Linked DNA regions of Elephas maximus indicus. The protein of the gene in region 1 interacts with the protein of each later gene in a biochemical or structural test. Links are inferred from orthologs where the notes say so. Each region holds a gene or a part of one and is shown on either strand. Other genes may lie near its edges. The genes, in order: SMURF2 and SMAD2.

Region 1 (16,297 bases):
AGACGCCACTCTTCAAAGTGGGTTGCAGAATGTTTTCTTAATAGATTTTATTATGCCAGTTGACTTCGATGTCCCCTGAAACCGTGGTCCTCAGACTCCTGCCTCTGCTACGCTGGCCTTTGAAGCATTCAGTTTATTCAGGAAACTTCTTTGCTTTTGGTTTAGTCCAATTGTGCTGTCTTTCCCCTGTACCGTGTGCTGTCTTTCCCTTTACCTAAAGTAGTTCTTATCTACTATCTAATTACTGAGTACTCCTCTCCCACCCTCCCCCCCCCATAACCACAAAGAATGTTTTCTTCTCAGTTTAAACTATTTCTCAAGATCTTATAATAGTGGTCTGATACAATATTTGTCCTTTTGCCTCTGACTAATTTCACTCAGCATAATGCCTTCCAGGTTCCTCCATGTTATGAAATGTTTCACAGATCCCTCACTGTTCTTTAACGATGTGTAGTATTCCATTGTGTGAATATACCATAATTTATTTATCCGTTCTTCCGTTGATGGGCACCTTGGTTGCTTCCATCTTTTTGCTATTGTAAACAGTGCTGCAATAAACATGGGTGTGCGTATATCTGTTCGTGTAAAGGCTCTTATTTCTCTAGGATATATTCCAAGGGGTGGGATTGCTGGATCATATGGTAGTTCTATTTCTAGCTTTTTAAGGAAGCGCCAAATCGATTTCCAAAGTGGTTGTACCATTTTACATTCCCACCAGCAGTGTAGAAGTGTTCCAATCTCTCCACAGCCTCTCCAACATTTACTATTTTGTGTTTTTTGGATTAATGCCAGCCTTGTTGGAGTGAGATGAAATCTCATTGTAGTTTTGATCTGCATTTCTCTAATGGCTAATGATCGTCAACATTTCCTCATATATCTGTTAGCTACCTGAATGTCTTCTTTAGTGAAGTGTCTATTCATATCTTTTGCCCATTTTTTAATTGGGCTATTTGTCTTTTTGCAGTTGAGTTTTTGCAGTATTATGTAGATTTTAGAGATCAGGCACTGATCAGAAATGTCATAGCTAAAAACTTTCTCCCAGTCTGTAGGTAGCCTTTTTACTCTTTTGGTGAAGTCTTTGGATGAGCATAAGTGTTTGATTTTTAGGAGCTCCCAGTTATCTGGTTTTTCTTCTGTGTTCTTTATAATGTTTTGTATACTGTTTATGACATGTATTAGGGCTCCTAACGTTGTCCCTATTTTTTCTTCCATGATCTTTATCGTTTTAGATCTTATATTTAGGTCTTTGATCCATTTTGAGTTAGTTTTTGTGCATGGAGTGAGGTATGGGTCTTGTTTCATTTTTTTGCAGATGGATATCCAGTTATGCCAGCACCATTTGTTAAAAAGACTGTCTTTTCCCCACTTAACTGTTTTGGGGCCTTTGTCAAATATCAGCTGCTCATATGTGGATGGATTTATGTCTGGATTCTCAATTCTGTTCCATTGGTCCGTGTATCTGTTGTTGTACCAGTACCAGGCTGTTCTGACTACTGTGGCGTTATAATAGGTTCTAAAATCAGGGAAAGTAAGGCCTCCTACTTTGTTCTTCTTTTTCAGTTATGCCTTATTTATCCGGGGCCTCTTTCCCTTCCATATGAAATTGGTGATTTGTTTCTCTATCTCATTAAAGAATGTCGTTGGGATTTGGATCAGAATTGCATTAAATGTATAGATCGCTTTTGGTAGAATAGACATTTTTATAATGTTAAGTCTTTCTATCCATGAGCAAGGTATGTTCTTCCTCTTATGTAAGTCTCTTTTGGTTTCTTGCAGAAGTGTACTGTAGTTTTCTTTGTATAAATCTTTTACATCTCCGGTAAGATTTATTCCTAAGTATTTTATCTTCTTGGGGGTACTGTAAATGGTATTGATTTGGTGATTTCCTGTTCGATGTTCTTTTTGTTGGTGTAGAGGAATCCAACTGATTTTTGTATGTTTATCTTGTATCCCGGTGCTCTGCCGAACTCTTCTATTAGTTTCAGTAGTTTTCTGGAGGATTCCTTAGGGTTTTCTGTGTATAAGATCATGTCATCTGCAAATAGAGATACTTTTACTTCTTCCTTGCCGATCTGGATGCCCTTTATTTCTTTATCTAGCCTAATTGCTCTGGCTAGGACTTCCAGCACAATGCTGAATAAGAGCGGTGATAAAGGGCATCATTGTCTGGTTCCCGATCTCAGTGGGACTGTTTTCAGGCTCTCTCCATTTAGGGTGATGTTGGCTGTTGGCTTTGTATAAATGCCCTTTATTATGTTGAGAAATTTTCCTTCTATTCCTAATTTGCTGAGAGTTTTTATCGTGAATGAGTGTTGAACTATGTCAAATGCCTTTTCTGCATCAATTGATAAAATCATGTGATTCTTGTCTTTCGTTTTATTTATGTGGTGGGTTACATTAATTGTTTTTCTAATGTTGAACCATCCCTGCATACCTGGTATGAATCCCACTTGGTCATGGTGAATTATTTTTTGATATGTTGTTGAATTCTATGGGCTAGAATTTTGTTGAGGATTTTTACATCTACATTCATGAGGAATATAGGTCTATAATTTTCTTTTCTTGTGGTGTCTTTACCTGGTTTTGGTATCAGGGATATGGTGGCTTCATAGAATGAATTTGGTAGTATTCCATCCTTTTCTATGCTCTGAAATACCTTTAGTTCTCAAAATGACTTTTAAACCTGATTGCATATTGTTGATATTGTATAAGATTCCTAACCCCTGCCCACCCTGATTCATTTTCTTCTTTGTTCTTACTGCATTCTTCCTACCAGTTTGGTGGTTTCTGCATATTTTCGTTATACTGTACCTTAAAAATGCCTCAGAGGGGGTGTAAAAGTGGCGTGGGGGCAGTGTCTAACCTTTTCTGACTTCACAAGCAGGGAAGAGAATCAAGATCAACAGCCCAAGGCTGATCCCTATGAGGCAGAGGTCAGATAGGCCTCCTCTTTGCACCACCTTTACCAATTCTGACACCAGCAGTCCCTCCCAGAGCACTCTCTGCTTCATTGCTGGGTTTGATTATTCATTGCAATGGCCACACAGAATTCAGACAATATTCATGATTATGGAGTTTGTTATGAAAGTAACAGATTACAGTCCAGGCTCGGGAACACTTAGGGGACAGTTCTTCCATTAGGACAGCCTCTTCTTAGCTGTGCCCACATGCAGGCCTCTCTCTGGGCCCTTGGCCTGTGCCCTGCTACAAAAGTTCATTTAGCTCTGCCAATAAGTGCCCAAAGGCACCCTACTCTTCTAGTAAACCTCAGCCTGAAGGTGCTCAGCTGTAGCTCCTTGGGTCAGCAAACCTCACTCCACCAAGTGCCTGGAGGCTACCCTACTCTGCCAGCAAGCCTCCTACCCAAAGGTACTCAGCTTTCTTGCTCCATGGGCGGGGAACCCCACCATGCCGTCTCCTGCTGCCACCATTTCTCTGCCACAGATTCTTGCTGTCTTCAGTGGTACAGCCTTTTCTCTCTGTCTCCTGGTTCCAGGAGCTTCTCAGCGCTGGAATCCCGGGTCCAAAGGATGTGCTCTGCTCTTGGCTGTTCCCTTTTGATGATGGTGGCATCTTCTCTTTCCCACCTTTGGGATGGCTTATTTCAAGCCAAGCGGGATGCAAAGCTGACCAGTGCCCTTGGTGGGCCACAATTACTTTACTTACGTAGTCCCACCCAATCACTTGCAGGGGGGGCGGTTAAAAGACTATGGTGAGAAAGGCCACATGAAAGTGATCCATCACACCGTAGGGGGGAAATGTATAAATATTTTTTAAGGCTTCTGACATATGGCCCAAAATCTAAGAAATCTGGTCTTGGACCAGCTGAGGCCACTGAATTGGGAGAGGTATTCAGAATGACTCTCCAATTAGTGTTACTGCATTTTATTTTGTCATTTATTTTACCTCATTTTAAACCTTTAGTTACTTAGTTTTTTTTAATTTTATTTTAATTAGATGTTTAAAATCAATGTCAAATGATATTTAACATGGTAAGGAAAAGAATAATAAAATGAACGTACATATACCCAGCTTAAGAAAAAGACCATTACCAGTATTTTGAATGGTTTTAAAGTATTATTTTTGCTGAATCTTTAAAAAAAAAAGAATGTAAATTTATAATTTAATATGCAGAGGAAACCTGAGTCTTTGTCTGTACTTTACACATGTAAACATTTTTCTCGCTTACATGTTTGAGTACTGCTTTAAACTTCATAATAGGCAAAGTGTCTTCCACCTCCCCCAACACTTTCTGAAGTCCTAACTTCTGTTATCTAATGCAAAGCTGCAAATTATGTTAGCGAGTGGTTGGGAACAAAGCATGTGATCTACGAATAAGGAAAATGTGTATGTATTCAGCAGTTTGCTAAATTTTATTGCAATTATCCAGCTTCATAAATTGTGATAGTTATTGTTCAAATCAATTCATCTTCAGGTCCAAAGGACCTTGTTTATTGCTTTGCACACAGTAGGTGCTCGATATTTGTTGAATGAATTTCTAGCACTGTCCCTCATATTTCTAGTCTGACATCACTTTAATTGTAGGGATATATTAGGCTGATGGGAGTCCCAGGGTGGTACGAACTATTAACCTTGCTGAACAAAAGTTTGGAGATTGGAGTCCACCCAGAGGTACCTCAGAAGAAAGGCCTGGTGATCTGCTTCCAAAAAATCAGCTATTGAAAACTCTATGGCGCATACATGGAGTTGCCCTGAGTCAGAATCAACTCCATGGCAACTGGTTTGGTTATCAGATTAATAAGAGGCTCTTGGAGGTAACTTCATCTGGAGAATAAAGTGACTTAACTGGTGAATAAAAGAAATGACTGATGGGGAATTAGGATTAAAATATATTAGACTTTATTAAATCTTTAAAAGAAGGGCATTCCCTTGCTGCCATGGCAGCCAGGGCGACATTACCGCTGTTGGTGATGTCATTTCCAGCACACCAGTCCTCATATACAGGTTCCAGCCCTCAGGAGTGGTTGGAGGCTGTCTTTGGTATGCAGGAAATCTGAATGGTGAGTGAGGCCTAGGAGACACTGGAGAGGACTCCCTGGTTCCTTTGAGAACATTTGTCTCTGTGCATTCCGGAATGAAGTTGGGACCAGCTGCACCCAGGGCATAAGTGGCTATGTTGCTATCCCACTTGGACCCGGATGAAAACGCCTCATGGATGATAACGAGAATAAGCGGTAGAATTTTGAGATCACTGACTGGCATCTCCAGAATGAGTTTAGTCCCAGCTGGCAGCGCCTCTGGCAGACCAAGGAAGAGGCCACCTACAGGGTGTAGGCAGAGCGCGACTTGGGTGATGAGAGGCCTAGTTTTGGAGGCATACGGGATCACGACTATGCGCCAGTCAATTTCTTCAGAGCTGGCTCAAGAAAGGGGCCGCAGAAGAGGCGGAGTTGAAGATTCTGATGACCAAGAGAAACCTGTTAAGCAGGATGACTTTCCTAAGGATTTTTCAGACTAAGGAATTGAAAAACCAGTAGCAATTTAAAACCCAGCCAGAAAAGTTTTGCAGGAAGAATCAAGTCTTTCATGGCCTTTGGCAGCTGAGGAAGACACACGAAAGAAATTGGACAGAAGCTTCTTCAAAAGGTGGGGTGTGTTCCTGGAAGTGGCCTCAAGAAGAATGCACAAGGTATAATCAACCCATTCGAAGCCAAACAGAGAAAGGGGAAAAGGAGCTGTAGGGGTGTACAGCTCGGAGCGAACCATTCAGTCCCTGCAAGACTTCCCCGTGGTTGACTCAGGCGAGGAAACCGAATAGCAGTTTCAGAAGGAACTGAGCCAGTGGAGGAAAGTCTCCAGCGGAAGCAAGAAGCCCAAATACTCTTACAAGACAGGGGAAGAGCTGGAGGCCAAGGGCAGGATTAGTAAGAAGCTCACCAAGAAGGTCAAAGTTGTATAGGTGACAGGCCAGGAGCAGGTCTACCATAGCTACTGTCACATCAGCCACAAGCACAGCGTCCCTGATGGCAGGTTGCTGCTGCAGTCACGACAGCTGCCACCGCCTGGCAAAGAGGCCAAGCCCCCAGGCTTTTCATTTTCTGAGCTGGAGCCAGGGGTGGATTATCCAATAGGCAAGGTAAGTATGGTGCTTACCTTGCTTACCAGATCATCTCTAGTGAACAATTTCACATTTTTTTTGCCACGTCAAAGATTCTGCTTCTAGATATGGCTGGCATCTGTCTCTCTCCCAACCCCACAGTATCTTCTTACAAAATCAAATTCTCTTTTCAAATTTGCAGTCTCTGACAGGGATGGATTACCCAGTGAGCAAGGTAAACACGGGTTTACTTGTGCTTGCTTACTAATCTGTAATGAGTAATTTCACATGTGTTCACAAACCCATGTGAAATAGTTTACTCCACATTAGTAAGTAAGCACAAGTAAGCCCATGCTTACTTTACTTACCGCGTAATCTCCTCCTGGCTAGAGCACAACCTGCAGCTGCTCATTGACCTCAAGGAGCAGGGGATCAGCCAGAATGACTGGCAGCTGAAGTATGAGTGGGACATGGTGGTCAACCTCTCCCAAGAGCTGGAGAAGATGTCCGAGGTCCTGGACCCTGAGGAGAAGGTCACCTCCAGCCTCAACAAGGTCCTGGAGATGGTAGAGGAGTGTGAGTGGCAGATGCAGCCCAACTGCAGCAACCTTCTCACCCTGTATTATTGTGTCTGCATCTTTGAAACCCTCCAGAAAAAGTACTATGAGGAGTAATTACAGGATGTCTGATTGAGTGGAGCTTACTGTGGCCATTGTCTATACACTCATGAAGGAGTACTCCAAGGAGTGGGATCCCCTTTGAGACTGTACATATGGCACCAAAATAATTTCCAAGTGTAAAAGCTTTATAAAGAATGACCAGCTCTTGTCCCGTAGAGGGCAGGACCTCTTGGCAGATGCCTTCACAGGCTGATATGGGAAGTTTGGATGCCTTTTGTTTGAAATATTGTCACCTGGTAGCAACCAAGGAACTGTGACTCAGTGGTGGACTTTTTGGATAGCTGGGTGCACATTATTCCTGTGTGGATTTAGATAACATACTGGACAAGGCTGTCTTCCCCGAGCTTCAGAAGGAGGTGGAAAATTGGAACCCACTGACTGACACTATACCCATCCATTTTTGGATCCATCCATGGCTTCCCCTCATGCAGGTGTGGCTGGAGCCACTGTATCCCCTCATCCGCAGCAAGCTGTCCAGTGCCCTGCAGAAGTGGTATGCCAGGGCATCCTCTGCTAAGCTCACCCTCCGGCCCTGGAAAGATATCTTCACTCCTGATTCCTGGGAAGCATTCATGGTCAAGAACATCGTATACAAGCTGGGGATGTGTCTTGGTGAGCTCGTCCTTAACTGCCATCAGCAGTACATGGAGGCCTTTTATTGGATGATTGACTGTGAAGGGATGATCTCTGTCTCCAGCCGTAGGGCTTCTTGAAAACAGCTTCTCCCCAAGTGGCATCAGGTGCTATGCTCCTGGCTCAGTAACAGCCCAAATTATGAGATCACCAAGTGGTACCAGGGTTGGAAATCTGTGTTCTCAGACCAAGTGCTGGCACGTCCATCCATTAAGGACACATTTAGTGAAACACTTGATATCATGAACAGGGCAGTATCCTCCAATGTTGGTGCCTACATTCAGCCCAGAGCTAGGGAAAACATTGCCTATCTCACCCACGTGGAGCAGAGGAAGGACTTCCAGTATGAGGACATGGTCCAGAGGGACATCAGCATGGCTGCCAGCTCAATGCCCATGAACTCTAAGGACCTCATTCAGACCAAGGCCAAGGAGCACATGCCTGTCATCGGGAAGTGACATGAAGCTCTACACCTTTGGCTGAATCATGTTCTACATCCATCAGGGAGTGGTGTTCCTTCAGGGTGAGAAGACCTGGGTGGCCTCCTCCCTGCAGAGCCTTGACTGACATAGCTAAATAGACTGCCATGGGTCTGGAGCAGGCCTAAGAGGGACGTTCAAAAATGTTTCGTAAAATAAAAAATATTTTAAATTACAAAAAAATTTAAAATTGCATTAGAAGTACTACAGCCTTAAATGAAATGAACAAAGCACACAAAAAATTCCCGACACTGTCATCCTTATCACTCGTTTTCATTATGCATAGGAGTCCCTGGGTGGTACTAACAGTTAACAGAAAGGTCAGATGTTTCAGTGCACCCAGAGGCGCCTTGGAAGTGAAGTCCTGGCGATCTACTTCCAAAAAATCAGCCATTGTGAAAACCCTATGGAGCATAGTTCTACTTTGACACACATGGGGTCACCATGAGTCAGAATCGCTGGAAGGCAACTGTTTTTTTTTTTTTTTCCCATTGTGCAAAGAGACTTTTGCAGGTATATCCATATCCATTGTTGTTGAGTTGATTCTGACTCATAGCGACTATATAGGACAGCGTAGGACTGCCTCATAGGGTTTCCAAGGCTGTAAATCTTTATGGGAGCAGATTGCCAGGTCATTTCTCCAGAGGAGTGGCTGTTGGGTTTGAACCTCTGACCTTTCGGTTAGTAGCCAAGTGCTGAACCACTGCACCACCAGGACTCTTCTGCAGGTATACACACAACATTTTATTCTGCTTTTAAACTTTGCACTAAATGTGAACTCTTCCATGTTACATGCTCTTCACAACTGCCATTTTCAATAGCTGCATGGAAGTCCATCCCGTTGATGTAATATAATTCATTATTAGACTCTTCCCTCATCCACCTTCTTTTTCAAACAACTTTTCGAAGAACATCTTTTGTACATAGTGTTATTTCCTTATTCCAAATTATGTGTCAAGAATAAATTACTAGGAATGCACCTGCGGGGTCAAAGGGTAAGGTACACTTATTTTTATTTTTCTCCTAAGGCAACGAAATATAGTACTGTACGAAAAGCTTTTTATATATTGCTCTTTAAGGTTTATCTTGTTAACATCCCCTTAAGACACTATCATTCTCCTACTCTCGCGCTATAACCGAAAAAAAGCCCGAGCAGGCAGGTAACCTGATCTCATCCACCAGGTGAGTTCTGGATGGAGGTGGCAACAATACTAGGAGCAAAGCTCCCCTGGGAATTTTCTGGAACCTTCGGTGTGGTGATAGTGCCTCTTCCCTCTGCTCAGCGACGCTAAATTCCCAGAGCGAAGTGGACTCGGTTCTACTTGCTCACCCCAGTCCCTCAGAGAGCCCTACACGCAGTGGGCGTCTAATAAATGGTCCCGAGTAGACAAAAGCTCTCCCTTAAGTGGCCAGGACATTAAGTTTCTTCCTGGTGCCACAGAGCTGCCGCCACCGACTTCTTTTTTCCTTTGCCCGCTCCCTCAAGTTCTGTGTGCGACCCTCCGCTGCCCGCCCAAAGGTAAAGAGCGTGCGCACCTCAGCGCGCCACTCCCTGCGGCTCTCGTCCCGGCCGCGCCCGGGCCCCACGCCCCCACGGCCCGGGCACCCCGCTCGGCCGGCCCCGCCCCCTGCTCGGCCCCGCCAGGCCCCGCCCCGCCCCGCCGGCCCCGCCTCCCGCCTCCTCCCCGCCCCCCGGAGACGACGAGTGGCGGCGGCGGCGGCCCCAGGACCCGGTTCCCTCAGACAAGAGGGCGGGTAGAAGAGGAAGCGGCCGAGCCCTGAGCCTTGCTCCGGCGCCGCCGCGGAGCGCCGCCCGCTTCAGCCGACCAGCCCTGTCGGGTCGTGGCCCTCGCCGAGCCGAGCGGAGGGAAAGGCGCGAGGCGGCTGTGCGGAGGCGGCAGAGGCGCGGGCGGAGGCGGCGCGGCCGGCCGCGGCTGCCGCTTTGTTGTGCGGCCCGGGCCGAGGAAGGAGAAGTGGGAGGAGGGGGGAGCTCGGCGTCCCGCTCCCTCCGCGGCTCATGGCGACGACGCTCGGCACATCCGGGACCCTCCGGCCGCGGCGGCCGCGGCGCCGGCTGCTCGGGCCCCAGCCCCGGACGCTGTGGTGACTCCGCCGCGCCTCGCCGTCGCCCCCGCCCCGCCCGCCCGCCGGCCCGGGCCCCGCGTCTGCAGCCGGAGCCCCGCCGCCGCCCCCGCCGCCGGGGACATGTCTAACCCGGGAGGCCGGAGGAACGGGCCGGTCAAGCTGCGCCTGACAGGTGAGGGGGGGACGGGCGGCGGGACCCCGGCCGGGGCGGCCGCGGGGTGGGCGAGCCGGCGGGGGGTGCCTGTGGCCTTGGGAAGGGCCAGGGTCGCGATCAGTGGTGAGTTGGGGGTCGGGGCCGTGGGAGGGCCTAGTGCGGGGAGAGTCACTGGAGACCACTCGCTCTGGTTTGTCAATCTCTGCAACAGCCGAGGGAGACTCGGGGGCCTTTTGTTGAGGGGAGGGGCAGATCGGCTGAATTCCATGCGAAGTTGAGGTCGCGGAGTCTTGGCCGAGGAGCCCGGCGCTCGCCCTGGGCCTCGGGAAGCAGCCCTGGGCGGGTGCCCAGGTGGGGTCGTTGGAGGGATGAGTAGCCCGGGTGCCGGGGATTATTGAATCCGGTTGCTGACTGCGCGCAGTAAACACCCCTTAACGATGGAGCGCTAACGGGAGTGTGTGTGTGTGTGTTGTGTGTGTGTGTTGTGTGTGTGTGTGTGTTCGTTCCTTGGTTGTTCACTTGCACACCCACGTATGCCCGCGTGCGAAAGCTTTCCTCTCTGCTGCCAGCCAGAGCCGCGGGTGCCACACACCTTAAATGAACGTCTTCGGGAGGGAAGCCGACTGAGGTTGACTTTTCCGGTGTGGCTGCCTGATCCGCCGACTCGGGCTCATTGTACACTCTGTGTTTTGGAAGTGTTTGATTGTAGGTTAGCTTGTCTGGGGGTTGTTCCTTGTAGGCCGCAAAACTTGGGTCTCACTTCTAACTCTAGACCTGCTTTAAAATACTTTTTGGAGGGGGTAAATTTCTAAGTACGTGATCGTACCAACTTTCAAGAGAACTTTCACACCCTCTGCCCTTTCGCCTTTTTCTAAAGATTGCTAGTGGAAAAGCATGTCCGGAGGGCTTGCTTGATAGAAGAATACTCTTAACAAAAAGTGTTTACGATTCCCGGTGCTTTAAAACTTTAGCATTGCAGGTACATTGAGCTTCCAGTGCCGTTTTTTGGCATTCTTACATGTTAACCTATTTTAAGGACGAAATAGTTTTGGTTTGGAAAAACGTAAGTGAAATCAGTGTAGTTATCCTAGTTTCACCATTAATAAATTATTCACGTTTATATTCGGATGTGTGGTGAGAAAGGTGGTTTTTCTTACAGGGTGTGTGTGTGTAAGAATAAACTGTAGTTATGTTTGCCTGCGTTAGAGTTTGGGATTTATATGGACTAATTTTGTAGTTGAATACTTGTGTGTCACATCCCAGTCCACTGGCTGAACTTTCTTGATAAAAACTTGCAGTGACTTTGGTATTTGAGAATTTAGTTTGGATGTAGGTTGGCTACAATTTAAAAAATATGTTACTTTCACGACAGTTTTACTTTCCCTAGGGAAAATTGTGAAGAATCATTAACTGAGTGGTTCTTAATGGAAAACCTGGATTGGGGGATGCCGTTCTCCCTGCCTCCCCCTCCTCCCACTCAGTTTCCTTATTTTCTTAGGAGTCAATGGAAACCTTTATAAGGGATCTTTGTTGCTTTAGAGTTTATCTACTGCTGTTCCTCTTCTGGAGTCTGGCCGGTGTCTGTGATCCTGGAAAGAACCTGTGACTCCAGGTGTGCAGAAGGCGTCAGAAATAGGCTGTGGCCGTTAGCTTCCCTTTAGGCTGTATCCAAACTGAAACAGTGAGGGAGGAGATGGTTTTTATTTTCTGCAGATAAAATGATTTTGAGATTTTTAGCAACTCAATAGATGTTGAAATGTTTGTGGTTTCCATACTGTATAAAATAAATATTACAAAAATTCATGAATAAAATTTGTTAGAAGAAAAGATTACACTTTTTGTTTTGAAGGGGGAGGCAGGAGTATTGGACTAAATTTGTGGAGATTTTGTATTTTAAGATTTTTCTGAGGAATTTTAAATAACTTGTGTCATTGATTATTCCTTTCGTTTGTAAAAATATTTTATGGTACTCCCAATTTCTTAAAATCATTGGGACTATATCTCTGAATAGCTTGCTCTTAAAATTCGGCGATTAAAAAAAAAAAAAAATTGTCCTCCCTTTTGTTCCGTATGGTCAATTCTCTTCTGTTTTGCCAGGAAAATTAACATATTTTTTCATGTTTGTTTATCATTTACAAATTAGATGGTATAGATTTTAACAAATAGACCTCAAGAGCTGGATTCAGTTAGCAGCTTTTTAGGACATAAACATTAAAGGGTTAGATGGAAAAGATTGTTTTGACTGACTGGATAAATGACAGGGCTGTGTTTGATGTGCATCCAGGAATTGGTCTGGAGCTGGTGCCCAACTTCTCAGTCCATCTTGAGAAGCCAAATAAAATATTTAACCTAGGCCTTGTTTTGTTTAAAAAAAAAAAAAAAATTGGTTCTTTGTTAAGATCTTAAGAAATGTTTGGCATACTTTTAGACTAAGTGTTTAATAGTTCATTTAGATGTGAGTTCCATAATAGAAGAAAAATCACTTCAAAAAAGTCAGATTGCACTGTAAATTTTTATGTGGTTTACAACATACTTGGACTATAAGATGCTTTAAAATTATTCATCTTTGCTTTATTTAAGTTAGTACTATACTAATATTTTAAGTTTATAGAGTGCCTTTGATTTCAAGATGCTTTATGAACTGTAGCTGACTCAATTATATTTTTAACGTAGAGTTGCCCTTTTAATGAAAGGTGTAAACAGTTCCTTCATGGTGAGGCAGACGCACGCGCGAACTGAAAGATGAAATATTTGAGCCATGGGATCTCTGCCCACACTGGATATTAGATTTTTCCACATGCTATTCCTAAGACCACAACCGACTAGTGAACTATTTGGTATTTGTTGAAGGCAGGACTAATTTGACCCCAAATTTGTGGTTCCTCAGGCCTTTGGTAATTAAAATCTGGCCTGTTCCATCAAGCTATTTCTGTTTTTTTGGTGACGCATTAACACTTGATTATTAAAATGGGCTGTATGGTAAAGCTGTTAACTTCAATTAGTGTTTCTAGAGAAAACTGATTATAAAATGTAAAATTCAAATATATCCGATAAAAGCTTTTCTTACATTGGTTTGGATAGGAAATAATAATATTTGTACGTGATCATTGTTTATGAAAATCTGAAGGCTGGAAAAAGCATTTTAGTTAAATTTCTAACATTTTATAATTCTTAGATATGGAGAAATAACAGATTACTTCTCCAGAACATTTATTGCAGACCTTCTTGAAATTTCAATGTTTTTCTGTTCTGCGCCTCATGTTATTGTAAAATCTTGGCAGTAATGAGGTTAACCTTGTATGTAGCTAAATGAACAGTAATTAAAAAATATCCGTTTAGATATTCTAGTATCATAATATTGTTTCATTCCATATTTTAATCATTCAAAGTTTTAAAAATTGATTTTGTCTCACAAGCTTCTAGGTCGAAGTGTGTCTGTACACCGCAGTGACTTACTCTAAGGCTGTTAGTGATTTGAATGTTCCCAGTTTGTTTTACTTTCTTGTTTTCTGAGAAGAAGCCAACGTGGCTTAGGTCCTTCCTTTTCTCTTAAGTTATCTCTTCTAGTCTGACCCTCTTCAGACTGGCAGTAGAACTTGCTTACATGCTTCATGTAGTTTGGCTTTCATTGATTAGTAAAGTGTGTGCGTTTAATCATGAATTCTGTTTTTCCCTTGTTGGTTGAGGTATTACTGTCACAACGTACATACTAGCATCTTGTTTATTTAGGTATGCTAGCATATATCTAAGAAGCTCTGGTGGTGCAGTGGTTAAACACTCAGCTGCTGACCAAAAGGCTGGCGGTTTGAACCCCCTCACTGGCTCCCTGGGAGAAAGATCACGCAGTCTGTTCCCAAAAAGATTAAACCCACTGGGTCAATTTGGACTCATAGCAACCCTATAGAACAGAATAGAACTGTCCCATAGGGCTTCCAAGGCAGTCCTCTTTATGGAAGCAGACTGCCACATCTCTCTTCTTTGGAACAGCTGGTGAGTTGAACCGCTGACCGTTTGATTAGCAGCAGAGTGTATTAACCACAGCACCACCAGGGCTCCTTCCTGTAAAGATTACAGCCTAGGAAATCCTATGGGACATAGTTCTCTTTTGCACACATGGGGTCACCATGAGTTGGTATCAACTGAATTGTAACTAACAACAACAGTATACATCTAGCATATAATTTAGCATATTTAACATATAATTCAATTTTCAAGGTAAATGAAGGGCCCCACTTTAGGCACACAAGATGATTATGCATGCTTTTGATGAGAGTCTTTTAAAGATGTAATATGTCCTACTCTTTTCAAATAGACCATACTTAACAGTGTTTTGTTTATGATTCAGTATCATTATAGATATAAATTATTGTGCTGTTGTAACATGTAGTATGAGGATATCATCATGGCCTGTAGAGAGAACTCTTTAACCCTGCATATATATGGTAATAAGGTTCCTGGGTGGCGTAGATGGTTGCCATTAGCTGCTAACCTAAAGATTGGGGATTTGAAGCCACCCAGCGGCCTCGTGGAAGAAAGGCCTGGCAAACTGTTTCCATAAAGGTTGTTGTTGTAGTGTGCTGTTGAGTAGATCCTGGCTCATAGCGACCCATAGGACAGAGCAGAACTGCCCCATAGATTTTCCTAGGCTGTAATCTTTATGGAAGCAGGTTGATTTCTAGATCTTTTCTCCTGTGGAGCTGCTGGAGGGTTTGAAACTCCCAACGATTTGGTTAGCAGTGAGCGCTTAACCATTGTGCCACTAGGGCTCCATAAAGATTACAGCCAAGAAAACCCTATGGAGCAATTCTACTCTGTAACACATAGGGTCGCCATGAGTCAGAATCTATTTGATGACAGTGGGTTTGGTTTTTTGGTTTATATGGTAATAGGTGGTTTAACTTTTTTTTGCTGGTTTTTCTCTCTGCCACCGTTTTTCTTTACTGTTACTTTCCCTGCTCTAAGAATGCTATACCCTTGAAATAAACAGTTGTAATCAGCTATGTTATGTGTTTCCATATGAATACTTATTAACTGCCAGGCACCGTATTAAGTTTACATTTAGTATCACTCTTAGTTTTCACCACAGCTCTGTGAGGTAAGGGAAACAGACTTGGACAGGTTAAGTACATGTCTGTTTAGACAGCCTGTTACAAGCCCATTAGAATTTGTGTGGAAAAAATAAGATGAAATAAATTCTGTTCACTTGGAATTACTCCTGCTTCTTGAAATCCTTACTCATCTTTATAGACTCAACTCAAGGATTATTCTTACCCCTAGAACTTTCCCTGACCTGAGTTGATCTCTTTGTGGCTGTACAAGGCTCTTGTGTAGAGCTAACTCACTGAAGGACGTTTACCCCTAGAACTTTTTCTCATTTTAAAATTTATTTCCTAATAAATTACCTACAAATAATTGCTGTGAACATCTTGGTGAAGATTAACTTTTTTAAAGGCTATTTCTGTAGCAGTAGTGCTATTGGATAAAAGGGTGTGGATTTTTTTTAAGTCTGTTGATGCGTTTTCTCCCCAGGTTGCTTCCTAAAAGGATTGTGTCTCTTTAAAGCAGCAGAGAATAGGTGTCCCTTTTTACTGTTCTAGTATCAGCATTGGCTATTTAAAAATTTTTTTTTGCTAATTTCATGGATATAAAGTTTTTATATAGTATTTAAAAATTTATTCGTGAAGGTGAGTATTTTCCTGTGTGTTTACTAATTCTGTATATATATATGTATTTTTCTCTTGTTGATTTGTAACCTGTTAGAGCCTTACTGTTTTCCTTATTGAGCTGCCTGAGATTTAAAAAGGTATTAACCTGTTGTCATATTTGCTATACATATTTTCCTGGTCTGTTATTGCTTTTTAATTTTGACCATTTTTGAACGTGCAGAAATTTGTTATTTTAGAAGTCAAAACTGTCCAGTTTTTCTTTTCCTTTTCTTATTTTATACTTAGGAAGGCCTTCTTCAAGAGGCTTGATAAATAATTTATTTTAAAGTGGTTTAAAAAGATTATTCCCCCAAATTGCTATTTAGTTGCCTTATTATTTATTAGCCAGTTCCTTCTATCCACACTGATGACTTTTTAGTATATTAATTTAGTTACAGTAGTGTCTGGGCTGTTATTTGTTCTATAGGGCCATAAGGAGCCCTTGTGGTACAGTGGTTAAGCTCTTGGCTACTAACCAAAAGGTTAGTGGTTCAAACACACCA
Region 2 (16,043 bases), on another chromosome or scaffold:
ATTAGCCCAAGAAACAGAAAGGGCCACATAAACCAGAGACTACATCAGCCTGAGACTAGAGAAACTAGATGGTGCCTGGCTACCACCAATGACCACCCTGACAGGAACATGACAGAGACTCCCTGACGGAGCAGGAGAAAAGTGGGGTGCAGAACTTAAATTCTAGTAAAAAGACCAGACTTAATAGTCTGACTCAGACTGGAAGAAGCCTGGAAGATATGGCCCCCGGACTCGCTCTTAACCCAGAACTAAGACCATTCCTGAAGCCCACTCTTCAGACAAAGATTAGACTGGACTGTAAGACATAAAATGATACTTGTGAAGAGTGTGCTTCTTAGTTCAAGTAGATACATGAGAGACAAAATGGACAGCTCTTATCTGGAGGCGAGATGAGAAGGCAGAAAGGGACAGAAGCTGACTGAATGGACATGGGAAACCCAGGATGCAAAGGAGGAGTGTGCCATCACATTACAGAGAGCAACTAGGGTCACATAATAATGTGTGTATAAATTTTTGTACGAGAAACTAACTTGAGCTGTAAACTTTCACTTAAAGCACAAAAAAAAGCACCTATGAGAATACTACACAAGCCCAGACTCAAATCAGCATGAGATTTAAGTGCTCTAACTGTCCTTCAAATTCCCAGTCTGTCTTCACCCAAATCTTGTGGATACAGTCCTCAGGCTGTAAAAATTCAATTAATGCAAGGTCTTTATAGAGTAGTGCTGTCCAATAGAACCTTCTACACTGATGGACATGTCCTTTATCTGGGCTATCCAATACAGCAGTCACTAGTCATGTATGGCTACTTAAATTTAGATTAAAATTAATTCATGAAAATTTAACATTCAGTTCCTCAGTCACACTAGTCTCATTTCAAGTCCACATGTGGCTAGTGGCCACCATACTGGACAGTGAAGGTGTACTGCGAATATTTTTCTCTAATATTGTTCCCAGTAGCTCTGGTAGCACAGTGTTAAGCGCTCAGCTGCTAACTGAAAGGTTAGTGGTTCCAACCCACCAGCCTCTCCACAGGAGAAAGATGTGGCAGTCTGCTTCCATAAAGATTACAGCCTTGGAAAACCTACAGGGCAGTTCTACTCTGCCCTACAGGGTTGCTCTGAGCCGGAACAGACTTGATGGCAATAGGTAATACTGTTCCTTGGTGCTCCTTCAAAGGCTTACTGGAGGTAAGAATGATAGGGAACCTGAGCAGGTAGGACTTCAGCACTGCCCATCCTCCCTCTCCCGCCCCCCCAGACAAAAAAAGTTTTTGTCTTTTTATCAGTCTTACATTCTGAAATTCCGCATAACATTTTTTAAGCCTTTCTGGTGGCCTTTGCGCACCTAGATGTGTGCATGCTTTAAGTCTGAAAACTGCTGGTTTAAAGCCGAAATGCCTGATGCACAAACCTCAGGCCAAAGGTGAACCTCCTGATACTTAAACAGTTTTTAAAAGAGAAGTTTAACTGGTCAGCGAACAAGGACTAGAGTCTAACCACCTATCTGTGAAATCTTTAAGAAGACTGGTCTGAACATGGAAAATGTTCATTCACATCTCTGGTCAAAAAACAAAGTTTCAAGAGTTCATCCAAGTCAAGGGGGAAGACTCACGGGCCCAGCTTCCACTGCACCACTTACCGGGGTTTGTGCCATGAACCTGGCAAGCCAGATTCACAGCCCCGCATCTTATAACGAAAAATGTGATTAAGACAGAGCATTTTCTTAATATTTACAAGCCCTTAACCACTATCTTTATAGAATTTTTGGAATTAGTTGAAGCAGCATACAACACAGGAGAACTAAGAGATTACAGATTTACTATGCTACTTTTTCAGACAGAAGTCTTTTTGAACTAACGGACTCAAGGGAATGAACCTGTTGGACTTTCAATGGCTCATTCTTCTTCCTTACTAACTGAATACAGGTAGTCCCTAATCCACGGCGTACTGGAGTTAAACAAGGAACCACACTTAACAACGCTCTGTCTGGTTTTTTTGTACAACTTATCGTTAGTAACATGTACTACATACAATGCTGCAGTGCATAATTTCCTGATGTTATCTCGGATGTTCACGCGCAGATGTTGAAAGATAAAGATGAGATTTATAAACTTACTGATAGTAAAAGGCAATAATAATGAAAACTAAAAAGTTTACATCAATTATTCAATTTATGTCAGAACCAACTTACGACGGAGTCATCAGAACAGAACCCCAACGTAAGGCAGGGACTACCTGTACATTAAACCTGAAATTATTCCCTCCCCAATGAGACAAGGAAGGGAGGTAGGGCACTGTAGATTTTTCAGGGAAATGAAATGCAAACTGCACATGAGCAGATGGTAAATGAAGTCTACAATCACTTTTCATTGCTCTGCAGCCCCAAGGCCAACTTAATTCCGGGTTTTGAAGATTTATAGAGCTACCTGGAAGAACTAGTGACAATTTCACAGTAAATTCAAGAAAAATTTAATGAGAATGAATCCAACTTTAGGATTTGTTTTCTCAAGAGTACAAAACCTAAAGATATATCTAAATTGTCAAGCATCTGTCCTATCAGTGTGCCTCAGTTACAAATACGAGGAGCCCTTCAAGCTCAAAAGGAACCACCCCCCACTCTAGAATATAAGGCAAATACATAAGTTATGGAATCACCCTAATATTTCTGGCTATCTAGCCAAACTAGAGGCAATCCACCAGCATGGCAAAATTACATCTTCCCTACAAGAAACTGCTGGAATTGAAGCTGGGAGCTGCCTACAACATGTAGATCTAGAATCAGCAGTGAATTATGTCCTAACTAAATACACTATCACGGTTTTGCCACTCTAGAGACATTATCACACAGATCAGTGACTAGCAGTAAGCCTCTAACTGTGCATTTTTATCTAAAAAAGGATGGATTACTTTTATACTACTGCTAAAAAATATTACTACTTTTTAAATAGCCAAAGCGACACAGTACAAGGTCACCAATAAATATTTAATAAAGTACATGGTTTAGAAAGTAACCCAGAAGTAGGAAGAAAAAACCAAAAAAAGGTTAGTATCAGGCATTATGGTCACATATAAAAGGAAACCCTGGTGGCACAGTGGTTAAGAGTTATGGTTGCTAACCAAAAGGTCTGCAGTTCGAATCCATCAAGCGCTCCTTGGGAACCCCACAGCAGTGCTGTTTTGTCCTATAGGGTCACTATGAGTCAGAATCGACTCGACAGCACTGGGTATATAAAACAAAAAGCCCTCAATGGACAGACTGGTCCACACATGCTTAAAAAACCAAACCAAAACCCTTGCTGTTAAAAAAAAAAAAAAAAAGAAAAAAGAACCAAACCCATTGCTGTCATGTTGAGTCTCACTCATAGCAGCCCTACAGGACAGATCAGAACTGCCCATAGTTTCCAAGCCATTCAGCATTGGTGGTTCAGTGGCAGAATTCTCACCTGCCATGTGGAAGGCCTGGGTTCGATTCCCAGCCAATGCAACACTTTAACTTTCTTCTGGAAACCCTGGTGGGATAGTGGTTAAGTGTTACGGCTGCTAACCAAAAGGTCGGCAGTTTGACTCCACCAGGCGCTCCTTGAAAACTCTATGGGGCAGTTCTACTCTGTCAGATAGGGTCACTATGAGTCGGAATCGACCTGACAGCAACAGGTTTGGTTTTTTTCTTTTTTTTTTAATAGTTTCCAAGGCTGTAATCTTTATAGAAGCAGATCACCAGGTCTTTTATCCCATGGAGCAGCTGGTGGGTTTGAACCGCTGACCTTTTGGTTAGCAGCTACCAGGGCTCCTCCACAAGTGGTAGGCCCTGGAAATCTCTAGCACACTCCGTATCGCAAAACCTAAGTGAAGTTCTCCATAAACTCCAGCCTGAAAAAAGACTGAATGACTTCCTCTGAAGAAAAGGTGTGCCATGAGGTGCTACACCAGTTAGATAGCTTTTCTTTACTACTGGCCTAGCATAAAAGATTTTTCAGTCTGGAATCATGGCTCTTTCAATGGCAAAGCAAATGCGAAACATCTTGGTCACAGTAGGTACTTTGTGGATCTTCTGTGAAATAAGTCATTCAAAATAGCAGAATGTTTTATCTCTTGAGGAACATTTGTTAATCATCCCAATGACAGTCTACGATATTTTATGTAGACTGCTGCACTCTTAAAAAATTTTCCCAAATATGAGTTAACCTAATTGATGAACATTCATTACTATGCTTTCAGGTCAGGTCCTGCACTGAATGGCCCCAGGCATGCTAGTTAGGCTTTGAATATTTGTTTGTGTGTCCTGTGGATTATCTCTATTACCCTGCCAGGCTGTTATCTGTTTTTTCTTACAATAGACAGTAGGCTAACAGTTCTCCATCCTCCAACCAGCCCCCACCACAACCCTTCTTAACCTCCTAAACTATCCACAATCTACTAGTTTCTAATCTACTATGGGTTTAGAAGCCAGGTAACTAGGCTTATTAGAAATATTTTAAATAAACACCAACAGGCTCTGACAATGGGGCTCAATGGTTCTCCCATGACTGAAGCTTTAAGGTATGGACTTGGACAATCTGGCTACCTCAGTCTTTTCTGCTTAGTGCCTCCTCTATAATAGGTCAAAGATAAGGGTGGAAGCAAGTCATCTGGATTAGAAAGGGCACAAATGACTGAAAACCACAAGACCAGAGCAAGAGAACAGATCATTTGGGAGGACCCGTTACGTCTCAGGCAATGTTCTAGATACTTTAATTATCATCATTTAATCTTAAGACATAGGTGTTATTACCTCCATTTTCAGTCAGAAAACCAAGGCTCAGGAGTTAAGCAATCTGCCCAACATGGTAAAATCCATGGCTTTTTCACTATATGAGATTGCTGGACAATCCTTATTCTCCAGTTTAGCTAATTGTCTTTATACTTTATTCCTGATCCGTATGCTTAAGTCTGACCTGAGTCAAGTTTTCTTCCTTTCCCCAACCAGTCTCTATACCTAAAGGGCAATGGATAATCAAACTAATGAACTAATGCCAAATTCAGCTTAGCTCTGCAAGTGTCCATCGGTTCAGCAACACACTACTGAAAGATTGGCCTAATCTCCAATTTGTATACACTGTATAAAAATGTTAACAGGTTCTCCCCAAAATACATGGGCTGTTTCCAAAGACACAAAGAGTTATTAACACTTCCCATCTTCCCTAGTGCTGCCCTCTACACTGGGTAGAAAGCAATGCGAGCGTACTTCAGGAACCAGCTCGGTCATGAATTTATCACACGTTCCCTAAATTTGTACACTAACATAATTTTCTTATTCTAAATACTGGGGAGTGGGGCAAGGGGCATTAGGAATTTCCACTTTTCTAATTCCATTAAGGAATAGGGGTATTAACTGTTGGCCGCTAAATACTTCATTGCCTAGCCCAGGGCCTGACGCGCAAAAAAGGCTATTTGTTGAATACATGTTATTCACTGAATAAATGAATAAATGCTACTGGTTCAATAAATAAAAGTTACCTGTTGGATAAATGCATAACGTCTCCTGAACTGTTTCCGAAATCTTTACCTTTGAAGTTTTCTGACCACCCTTACAATACTTAGTGGGAAACACTTTCCTTTACAGAAACTGAAGGCCTAAAAATGGCTCTTCCACTCCCATCAAAATAGGAGGAAGCTAAAAGACACGCCCCTCTCAACCCCCTAAAAATGACTCTTGTCCCAAGAATATGAATAAACTTCCATCTGCCAGACTGCACTTAATACAGCTTTTATATGCATTACAAAAACACCTGTACAAAAAAGCTGCTACAAAACGAGGCTTCTGGAGTCTTAAAATACAAAACCAACAGAATCAAAACCCAACAAGAAGAAAGCAAGCTTTTAGGCCTAAAAGCCAAAAGTGAAAATATTTTCAAAATGTAAACATTCATCAGTTTATGCAGCTAAACTGAGTGTTTCTAGTGCACATTATGTCCCCCAGTGAGAAGTAATGAGATTACTGCAACAAAATCCTAACGTTTACAATATGACAATGAAAAGGGCAGCCTCCCACCCCCTACCCCCCCCCAACCTGAAGTAGAAACAACCTTTGTTCCTGTTAAGGAGAACTTCTGAGTTGAAGGCTGGAAATACACAAAATCATCCCCAAAATTCCTACTTAAGAGTTAAAACATATTACCAAGGCTGACAAGCCACAAACAACAGGAAATTACCCTGCACAGTTTCTTACAAGACTAGTATTTCATGAACCTTATAGTTTGTGTAGGAAATTGACCACTTATGACTAGATACACAGTTACATCCTTGAAAAACCAAACTTTTGTTAAACATCTACAATGAGAAATCACTGCTTCAGAAGGTGTACTACAAAGTATAAAAACCAAGCTTCTAAGAGCAACATTTTACTAAAATACAGAAACAGATGTTTCCAACACTAAATAAAAATGGCCAATGAACTCCTTCAAACTCAATAGCAGATTTTAACAGAAAGTGGGCACTCACTTTAGAAATGCCCAAAGACATTTTATTTACTATCTACCACACTTTATGACAAAAACTGAGAAACTCTAAAAATACAATCAGTATTACTTTCTGAATTTAATATAAATGCTTTGCTAACTATTTGAGTTATACTTCCATGTTAGAATCTTTTTGTTAAAAGAGGTCAAAACTAGAACAAATGTATTTTCAGCATAATAACAGCAAATTTATTATCTTATTAGGCTAGAGGAAAACATCTTTACTATCAGTGGCACAGGTTCAATTCGTATGAAATTAGAAGAGAGAAAATGAAAAGGAAATACAGACTCATTCAGAATTCTGGAAATTAACTTAATTTTCAGAGACCATTTTTGAAAAGCTGAGATAAGTTTGTGTGATCACTTACTTATAATCATTTTACTGTATGTAGTTCAAGACACCAAAACTGATATACTCCAAACTGTAGCAAACAAGACATGACTTTGACGGATAATACTACTTCCAAATTCGTTTTGCCTAGCAATTCTTTTCAACAAAGGTTTTGCTGACAGCAAACCAACAGTATTTGGCTTCTAAAGGGTCAAGAGGGAGGAATAACAAAACCAACCTAGGTATTGTTTTTCTTTTGTTTGGGATCAAAAGGAAAGCATAACTACCTGAGAGTAAGTAAGCAGCAGACAAAAGTACACTACCCAAGGCCAGTAGTCCACCAAAAGAGAAAAAAATCATTAAAGTTGCAATTTTGAAAACCAAGTTTTAAATACACGAAATAAGTTACCGTGCTTTCTCAAGGCGGGTGATAAAAACTAATCGCCTCCACTCACGAAGCAACTTTCCCGAGTAAAGAATGATCTCGACAGAGTAGCAGCCGTGTGCGTGTTTATGTGAGCACACACAAGCAATTCAGAACCGGAGACTATTATGGTTAACAAAGGTTGCAAGACCAAAAAAACTGGAAGCAAAGAAAGTATCTCACACTCGTAACACGGCTTTCCAACAACTCCTGAAATAAGAGCTCTGTCCCTTCGACTTTAAAAATCAGAACCACAAACTAGCAAGTGTGTTACCAGCGGAGGAGAAGAGACACATCGGCCCGCGCCCCGGACCAGGCTCGCCCGCAGCTCCAGGACGCGGCGCTGGCACGTTTGGCCCCTTCCCTTTCGGCCTTCCCCTGGCCCCTTCGATCCTCGTCCATCCGAAAGCCCGGCGCACCCACTGCCCCCAACCCCGCCACACCCCAACCCCCAACGGCCCGTGGCCATGTGACACGGCGAATCTTACCGACCCAAGCCAAACACAAACACACCCCTACCCCCAGGGCCGCCGGGCACGGGGGCTTTACCTGGACCGGGGCTCCAGGTCCCGCCCCGTCAGATCCGGGGGTCCGGGACCTTTTGTTCTTTCCTCTTCCGAATGGGATGGAGGGGGCTGGGAGGGGAAGAGGGGAATGGTCGATTGGAGGCGGAACTGAAAACACTCCCAGCCGCCCGGCTTCCCGCCCCACCCCGCCCCCCAGCTCAGTTCCCGGCGCGCAGCCGGGCAAGGGGAGGGTCGCGGGCCCGGCCGCCACCGCCCGCCGGAGAAGGAGGGGGTGGGGACGCGCGCGTCCCGCCGCCGCCCCTCCTCCCCTCGCGCGCGCGCGCCCGGACCTCCCCTCCCGGCCCCGGACGCCAAGCCCTCCCCCGCCGCGCCCACCGGCCACCTCCGCTTCCGCCCGCCGCCCTCACACCGCGGCCGCAGCGGCGCAGCGCACCCACCTCCCGGCGGCCCGCTCGGCGCTCGCTGGCTGCTGGCTGGCGAGCTGCTCCTCCGCCGCCGCGGCCGCGCGGCTAGACCCGCCTCCCACCGCGGGCCCCGCCGATTCGCCGGCGCAGCCCCGGGGCTGGCACCCTGCCGCCCGCTGATTGGCGCCCCCACCCGCCTGTTAGGGCGCGAGGAACGCCGGCCGAGCAGAGCGCTCCGCGCGCACAGCAGATGAAGGGAGCGGAGGAGGGAAGGAAGGAGGCCGAGCGCCAAGGGAAGGGCTGGGGGCGAGCGGGGCGCCGAGAGTCGCGGGCCACTACCTCCCCGCCTCCCTTTCCCTTCGGCCGCCCCGCCCACCCGGCTGGACCGGCGGCGCTCGCAGCCAATCAGCGCGCGGGCTGGCCGGGGTGTGAGCCTAGCGTCCGGAGCCTTGAATCGGAAGGGAGACGTCGCGCGCTGATTGGTCCCGCCTCCCCCGTAGAGCGTGAGGCGAGGCGCGGCCGGCTGGCGGCAGAGGCCGAGGAGGGGCTGGACGCGAGCGGTCTCGGCTGATTTCAATTCCGGCACCCTCCCAGAAGCGACTCTGGGAAAGGGAGGGAAGAGTGGAAGGCACGTAACCTGCCGCGCTGGGAAAATAATCCCCAGCGACCACCGGCTCTCGTTGCCGCTTCCTGGGCCCCTTCCTTGGTCCCTGCCAGCGCCATTGGGTGGGGCCGATTTGGGGGCTGCTGCCTCGTCCACTTTCCGTCGTTAAGCCGGGTGAGCACGTGCTCATGCCTGGGGGAGGCTCCTAGCTGCCCCGAGAATAGGACGGGCAAGGGACAGAAAGAGCCCGGTACCCGCCCGCAACTGGGCGCGCCCGTATGCAAATGAGTGGGCGTGGCCCCTCGTGGTGCTAGGCGGGGGCGGGGTCCGAGATGTAAATAAGCCGAGAGCCAGAGGGATGTACTTTCTCTGTGTATTTAGGGTGAGGGAAAGGGATACCAGGTATTTTGGTGTAACCTGCATCTTGGTTTCCAGTTTCAGTAACAGTGGTGCTAATAATGCATTTCTGAACCATCGTTGTGAAGTTTAAAAAGATAAGCGCCTGGCAATATGCCTAATAATTATTGGGTTATTTTCCGTTTTTCATTTCTCCACAGTTTTGGCATGCCTTCTTGCAACCAGTATGTTCCCAGGCCTGAACTTGACACATCTGCGCCAGGGAAGGCAGCAGAGCCCTAAGCTGCTGACTGCCCAAGGCTGGGGTGCAACCGCCCTCGGATAACCGTGCCGCGTTTACCGTAGGGACACCCAAACCTATGCTGACGAGAATATTAAACCTAACTAATCACTTCAAGGGAACCCTGGCGGTGTAGTGGTAATCACATCAAGGAGGAGCCCTGGTAGTGCACTGGTTAAGAATTTGCCTGCTAACTTAAAGCTGAGCAGTTCAAACCCACCAGCAGCTCCTTGGGAGAAAGATGTGGCAGTCTACTTTTCTGTAGATCTACAGCCTTGGAAACCCAACGGGGAAGTTCTGCTCTGTCCTACGGGGTCACTATGTGTTAGAATCGACTCCAAAATGGGTTTTTAATCATAAAAAAATTTTAAGCACCGACTATGTTAGGTTGACAACTTGGGTGCAGTTCGAATCCACCAGCTGCTCCTTGGAAACCCTATGGGGGCAGTTCTACTCTGTCTTATAGGGTGCCTATGAGTTGGAATCGACTGTAAAGGGTTTGGTTTTTTTGGTTTACGTTAGGCAGGGGGCACCAGAGAACTGAAGTTGGAAAGAATCTCAGGTTTCACACAGGTAGTTTGTGGCAAGGACAAGACTACTGTTGTTTTGGGTGCCATGGAGTCAGTTGCAACTCATAGTGATCCTATGGGACAGAGTAGAACTTCCCCAAAGGATTTCCTAGGCTGTAATCTTTACTGGAGCAGATATCCAGGTCTTTTCTCCAGCAGAACCATTCAGCAGATTTGAACCGCTAACCTTTCAGTTAGCAGCCAACCACTAACCGTTTGTGCCACCAGGCCTCCTTAGAGACAAGATTAGGACACAGTTTTCTTGGCTCCCTGCCCAACACTCTCTCATGTACTACTTCATTAATGTAATTGGGGACTGTCTTAGGCTGGGTTTTCTAGGGAAGCAAAACCAGTAAAGCATATGAATACATACAGAGAGAGATTTATATCAAGGAAACATCTCACAAGATTGTAGAGGCTGGAATGTCCCAAGTCCATGAATTAAGATAGAGGCTTCTCCTGACTCACGTAGCCGCAGGGGCTGGCGAACCTAACATCGGCAGGACGGAGAGCAGGGCTCTTGCTCACAAGTTGTGAAGATCCATGAATCCCAGGATTGGCAGGTAAGCTGCTAGCTCAAGTCCCAAGAATCGGAGGTCAGGCAAACGGGAGCCAGCTGTGGGATCCAGAGCAGGCAAAAGCCAGAGCATCCGCTTATATTCAGATACAGGCCACAAGCCTGAAGAAACTCCCTTTCAACCAATTGGCTACTCACAGCAGATCCCATCATGGGGGTGATCACATATAAACACTGAGAACCATGGCCCAGCCAAGTTGACACACAATCTTAACCATCACAGTGACTCAAGTGGGACAGCATCACTAGCAATACCGAATTAAGAAGTACCAAATGAGCATTTCAGAGTCCTCAAAGTGTACTGTTTCCAGAAGTGGAGGAAATCTCAGCTGGACTTTGAGAAATATTTGGCCTTCTGTCTGAGTCTTACAGGTTTTCCAGAGTTCTTCTCAAAATCTCCATCTCTCTCCCAAAGCATGGAAGTACTTTTCTGATTGAAAGGTGATGAAGGGTATGAACCCTGGAGTTAGGCAAATCGTAGTTTTGAATGCAGCTCTTCCACATCCGTGATCTTTGGCAAGTGGAACTAACTTGCAATGATACCTATTTAAATGTAGTTTTGTGATTATTAAGTAGAATAATAAATATGCAAATGAGTAGCATAGTGCTTTGAAGTTAAAAGAAAGTCGATAATCAACATTTCTTTTCTGTTCCTGTATGCATTATGCAAATATGAGCCTACTCAGCAGGAGGGGTTCCGTCAAAAAGTTTACTTTCAGGGTGGCTTCTTCATGGTTGGTTTAGAGGCAGCCTTACTCACCCATTTTTTATAAAATAGCGTGTGAAGGAGACCCAGGAAGACAAGTGGTGGAGCTGTTCCACCTCCTGGCTTTGTGTTCCCACTTCCCAGAGCCACCAGGGAACATGGTCATGGGCAAACCCAAACCCGTTGCCATTAGTTGATTCTGACTTATAGAGACCCTACAGAACAGAGTAGAACTGCCCCATAGGGTTTCCAAGGAGCTGCTAGTGGATTTGAACTGCCAACCTTTTGGTTAGCAGCCAGGCTCTTAACCACTGATCACCAGGGCTCCTTTGGTCAAACGGAGGTGGTCCAATGACAACTAATACCAGCTACACAACTTAGAAGTATAAAGGCTGTTTCTGGTTTTTGGTCCTTCATCCTGCTAGCACAGATCAACAGTTTTAATAAGAAACAGCCTATAAAAAGCTGTCCTGCATCACACAAACATTCTCCTATGTGACCAGGGTGTGGATTTGAGTGCCCACCTGGGTGAGCAGGTGTGGTAACAAAAACAGAGCTGACCGGGATTCCAGAAGAATCTGCTCTCAGTATGGAAGCTGGGCAGTCTGGAGGGTACACTCATTCAGTGGGTAATATGCTTGGCCTAAGTTAAAGCCTCTCTCCAAAGTGTTGGACTTTGGGTCTCTAACTCTTCCACTCAGGTAGTCTTCCAAGATATGTAGGATTGAGGAAAGGGGAGGAGGGGCAATCTGGCTACCAATGCAGTCCCCAACAGGCTTACAAATGGGAGCATGCCTACTGTCCCTCTGCTAGAAAAGTATCTAAACCAAAGTGGGTCAAGACAGAAATTGAAGGCAGATGGGGCAGGGATTGCTGTGGCAACAATCAGCGTGGAAATCCACTAGGACACTTCAAGATCTATCAGTAGGTTCCTATTGTATAAGTTACACTGAGTAAGTCTAATTTATATATGGATGGACCCCAAGTTTAACCCTTCATGATGCGTGACACTGAAAAATCAATCAAAATCAATTCAGAATCCATTTAAAAGTAGTTAAATCCACTTTTTTCTTTTTTTTTGCCATCCACTAGACAGACACAAAAGAAAAATGGTAATGGTGGCTGCTTTGAGAAAGAGAGCCTGGGAGTCATGGGTATTTCATTGTTAATTTTTCTGTAGTTTGATTTTTTAAAACTATATTCATGTGTTGCTGTTCAAAATGAATGACACATCTTCCATCTCTTCTGTAGTAAATCTGTAAAGCCCTTCCTTTCTACCCCAGCCCAAAGCTATATCACTCATCTATGAACTTTCTATCTTTGGTCAGAATGATATCCATATGTGGTCAATGAGTTCCTTTATGTGGCCTTTTGCCTTAGTTCTCTTAAAAAACACCCTGAGAGATTTTTCCCCTAAACCCTGAGGAGTTAACTTTGCCCCACTTTCCTGCCCCAGAGGATTTGTTACTTTTGTCCACGTTGATTGACATTTCCTGGGTAAACTGTAAACAACTTGATGGTTTGATACTTTGTCTGGCCCTGAGCGGCAGCCTGCCCAATGATTGGTCTGTTTTACGCAGCTTGAGTGAAAGGGATCGCATAAATAGGGATTGGTCACTATACTTATGCAAATAGAGTGACTATGGCTTACTATGCAAATGAAGGGACTGTGGCCTCCTGAGACGGGATTGGTCAGTTCATGTACGTGGTGAGAGAGCCATTCCTTGAAATGGACCAGAAGTTTGCTTATATATGCAGTCGATAACACAGAGGTTTGCAGACCGAAAGAAGAAAGCAGAGGAGAAAGGGCAAGAAGAAAGAAAAGAGGTGCAGAAACTCCTAAAAGAGCTGCAACACAGATCAAGGGTTGTAACAGAAGACAGCCAGAGTCTAGGAACGGGATTTGTGGCAGAGTCCGTGGTGACAGCAGAAACCTGCTGCTAGCAATGCAGCTAAAAGAGCTGAACAAAACCGCTACCTTGGCTATGAGCTGGATCAGTTAGCAGTGGAGAGGCCAAAGGCAGAGAAGCTTGCCTGTCCTCAGGGGGCTAAGAGGAGGCCTGCACAGCTGAGAAGGAGCTTGCATGGCAGAGAGAAGGGCCTGCTTGCTTGCACTGCTGAGGGGAGCCGAGGGAGCGGTCCTGCACTGAAGAAGAGAAGGGTGTGCTCTCCCCTTTGAGGGAGCCTTGCAGACTTTGCCTGCCTGCTTCCTGATCCTGATCCTGAGTTGTAGCCTGTTAGTCCTGATCCCAAGTTGGACCCTGTTACTTCTTTAAGAAACCACTTAACTTTAAATATAGTCTGTGAGTTCTATATGGCCATTGCAACAAATTATTGAACCCAGCAGAGAGGAAGAACACTGTGGGGAAGATGGCTGGTATCAGAATTGACGAAAAGGTTGGAGAGTAGAAGCATGTCCGACCTCCACCTCATGGGAATCGGCTTTGTGCTGATGGTGATTCTCATCACCTCCCGTAATGTTAGGTAAGGTCTAATGATGTTACTACCCTTTTACAACATACTGTGACTTTTTTGTGATTGACACCTTGATCTATTCAGTCTTGAGCCATTATTTAACTTCTTGCGTATGCCTGTTTTGCCTCCTCATTTAGACTAAATTCCTAGAGGACAAGGAAAGCATCTTACTCTCAGCTGTCTTCCCACATCTTTACCAAAATACGAAGGAATTGAAGAAAGGTGAAAATATAGCATTTGCATAGCAGAAAAATGCTCTACATGTCATAGCTCTGCAGTAGGATCTCCCAGCACCTGCACAACTTGGCCCCATCTTTCCTGTTTGTAATTGCCTTCAGTAAAACTATTGGGCCCTATCTTGTCAACATCTAACCTCTGTATTTGTTCATCCTGGTGAAACTAAGTTTCAGTGACAATTACTACATCTTAAGGAAAGACCCAGTTCCTTAAGAGCACTGATTAAATGAGATAACCTAAGTAAAAATTGTAAAGAACAAATGTATGGGGTTACTTTTATTGTAAATGATAAGGAAGACATCCAGCGCCAGTAGGATTTTTATCTCGATACAATGAAATTTCATGTTTTAAATGAATTTTTGTTGAGGGTGTGCACACATGCCTCCACACACACACACATACACACACACAGCCTTATTCGTATGCTAGTTTTTGCTACAAATAAAAAATATCTAACATCTGATGGGAAATGCTAGGGAAAAGAATAAGGCATTTACAAGAAAAGCAATTCAACAGGTGAAGGTCCCAGGGTGGCTAAACTGCTATCTGAAAGTTTGGCAGTTCAAACCCATCCTGAGGTGCCTTGGCAGACAGGCCTGGCAATCTGCTTCCAAAAGGACACAGCCTCGAAAATGCTATGGAGCAGTGCTCTGCACACGTGATGTCGCCGTGAGTTGCAACTGACTCAACGATGTGTGCAGAGAACCAACGACAGCAACATACCACATAAATCTCTCAAACTATTAAAAAATAATAACTGATATTAAAGGATGTATAAGACATACTGTTAAATAAAACTCAACAGGTATTTATCAGGTATCTGTTATGTACCTACCATAAAACACTGTTGTTCATGGTGGAAAATCCTCATTCTGTGGCCAAAGATGCAGGAAAACAAGACATAATGGTGAAGCATTTTAGAATTGAAGAAAGAGATTGAGAGAGAAGTTGGCTATGGCTGAGAGAAAAGTATTTGGCAACAAGTTATTTTTCTCATCATCCTCCAGGCATCTGATAATTATTTTTGCATTTTTTGTCTATACATTTAAAGGTACAACTGATCATAGCTAATTCAATGATTGTTCAAATATTACTTGGAAAATTACAGTCAATTCCAATACAATGAGCACTCCCAGGAAGGCATTTAAGTATTATCTGAGATCTAAACATTTGGGATAAAAAAACTAAATAGTGGCCAACGTCTAAGCCCTGAAAGAATATTATACAAATCATTTAAAGTTCTGTTGTGAGGGGGGCATAATTCAGTCCCATGTCAACAACAGGGCCTTCTGTCTTGATTATAATTGCCTATGTATGACAATATTGACTAGCCAGGCTGCTTCTAGGCAGGATAAGTGTATGAAGGTATAAAACTCGTAGAAAATTTCAAGCACATTAGCATAATTGCTCTGATGAAGACTGAAGAGCTTATTTAACACAGCTGACTAGACAATAGATACAAATCAGTGTCCTAATGATTGAATTAATGAGCCTCAATTGTTTGTCCTTACTGTAAACAGTCCTTAGCTTTGAAAAAGACATTTTGCTGAAGGAGTATGAGAATTGTGTTAGCTACTAAGTGGCCAGAATGCTAATGGTGGGAAAGAGCCAATTGCTATTGGATCCTAAAGACTTCAATGGTGGGTTTCAAGCAGTAAATTGTATAGCTGCATGGAGGTTTCATTTCTTGACTCCTGCTTTCGTGGGCATTGATTGTGGATCTAAATGAAATCCTTGACAACTTCAGTCTACTCTCCATTTATCATGATGTTGCTTATTGGTCCAGTTGTGAGGACTTTTGTTTTCTTTATGTTGAGGTGTAATCCATACTGGAGGCTGTAGTCTTTGATCATCAGTAAGTGCTTCAAATCCTCTTCACTTTCAGCAATCAAGGTTGTGTCGTCTGCACATTGCAGTTTGTTATTGAGTCTTCCTCCAGTCCTGATGCAGCATTATTCTTCATACAGTCCAGCTTCTTGAATTATCTATTTAGCATACAGGTTGAATAAGTGTGGTAGAAGGATACAATTCCAATGCACACCTTTTCTGAAGG

The links.
Region 2: the proteins of SMURF2 (region 1) and SMAD2 form a complex in vitro, tested with the Homo sapiens proteins (3 studies listed by BioGRID and IntAct, with this or other methods). The link is inferred for Elephas maximus indicus from reciprocal best matches to the Homo sapiens genes SMURF2 and SMAD2.

The regions. Positions count from the first base shown.
Region 1 is NC_064837.1:55,837,863-55,854,159, reverse strand, and holds the start of SMURF2 (E3 ubiquitin-protein ligase SMURF2), read left to right. Parts: upstream 1-9,563; 5' UTR 9,564-10,055; coding exon 10,056-10,107; intron 10,108-16,297. UniProt on the Homo sapiens protein: E3 ubiquitin-protein ligase which accepts ubiquitin from an E2 ubiquitin-conjugating enzyme in the form of a thioester and then directly transfers the ubiquitin to targeted substrates.
Region 2 is NC_064829.1:56,501,622-56,517,664, forward strand, and holds the start of SMAD2 (mothers against decapentaplegic homolog 2), read right to left. Parts: upstream 8,538-16,043; 5' UTR 8,219-8,537; intron 7,890-8,218; exon of another isoform or gene 7,804-7,889; intron 3,487-7,803; exon of another isoform or gene 3,416-3,486; intron 1-3,415. UniProt on the Homo sapiens protein: Receptor-regulated SMAD (R-SMAD) that is an intracellular signal transducer and transcriptional modulator activated by TGF-beta (transforming growth factor) and activin type 1 receptor kinases.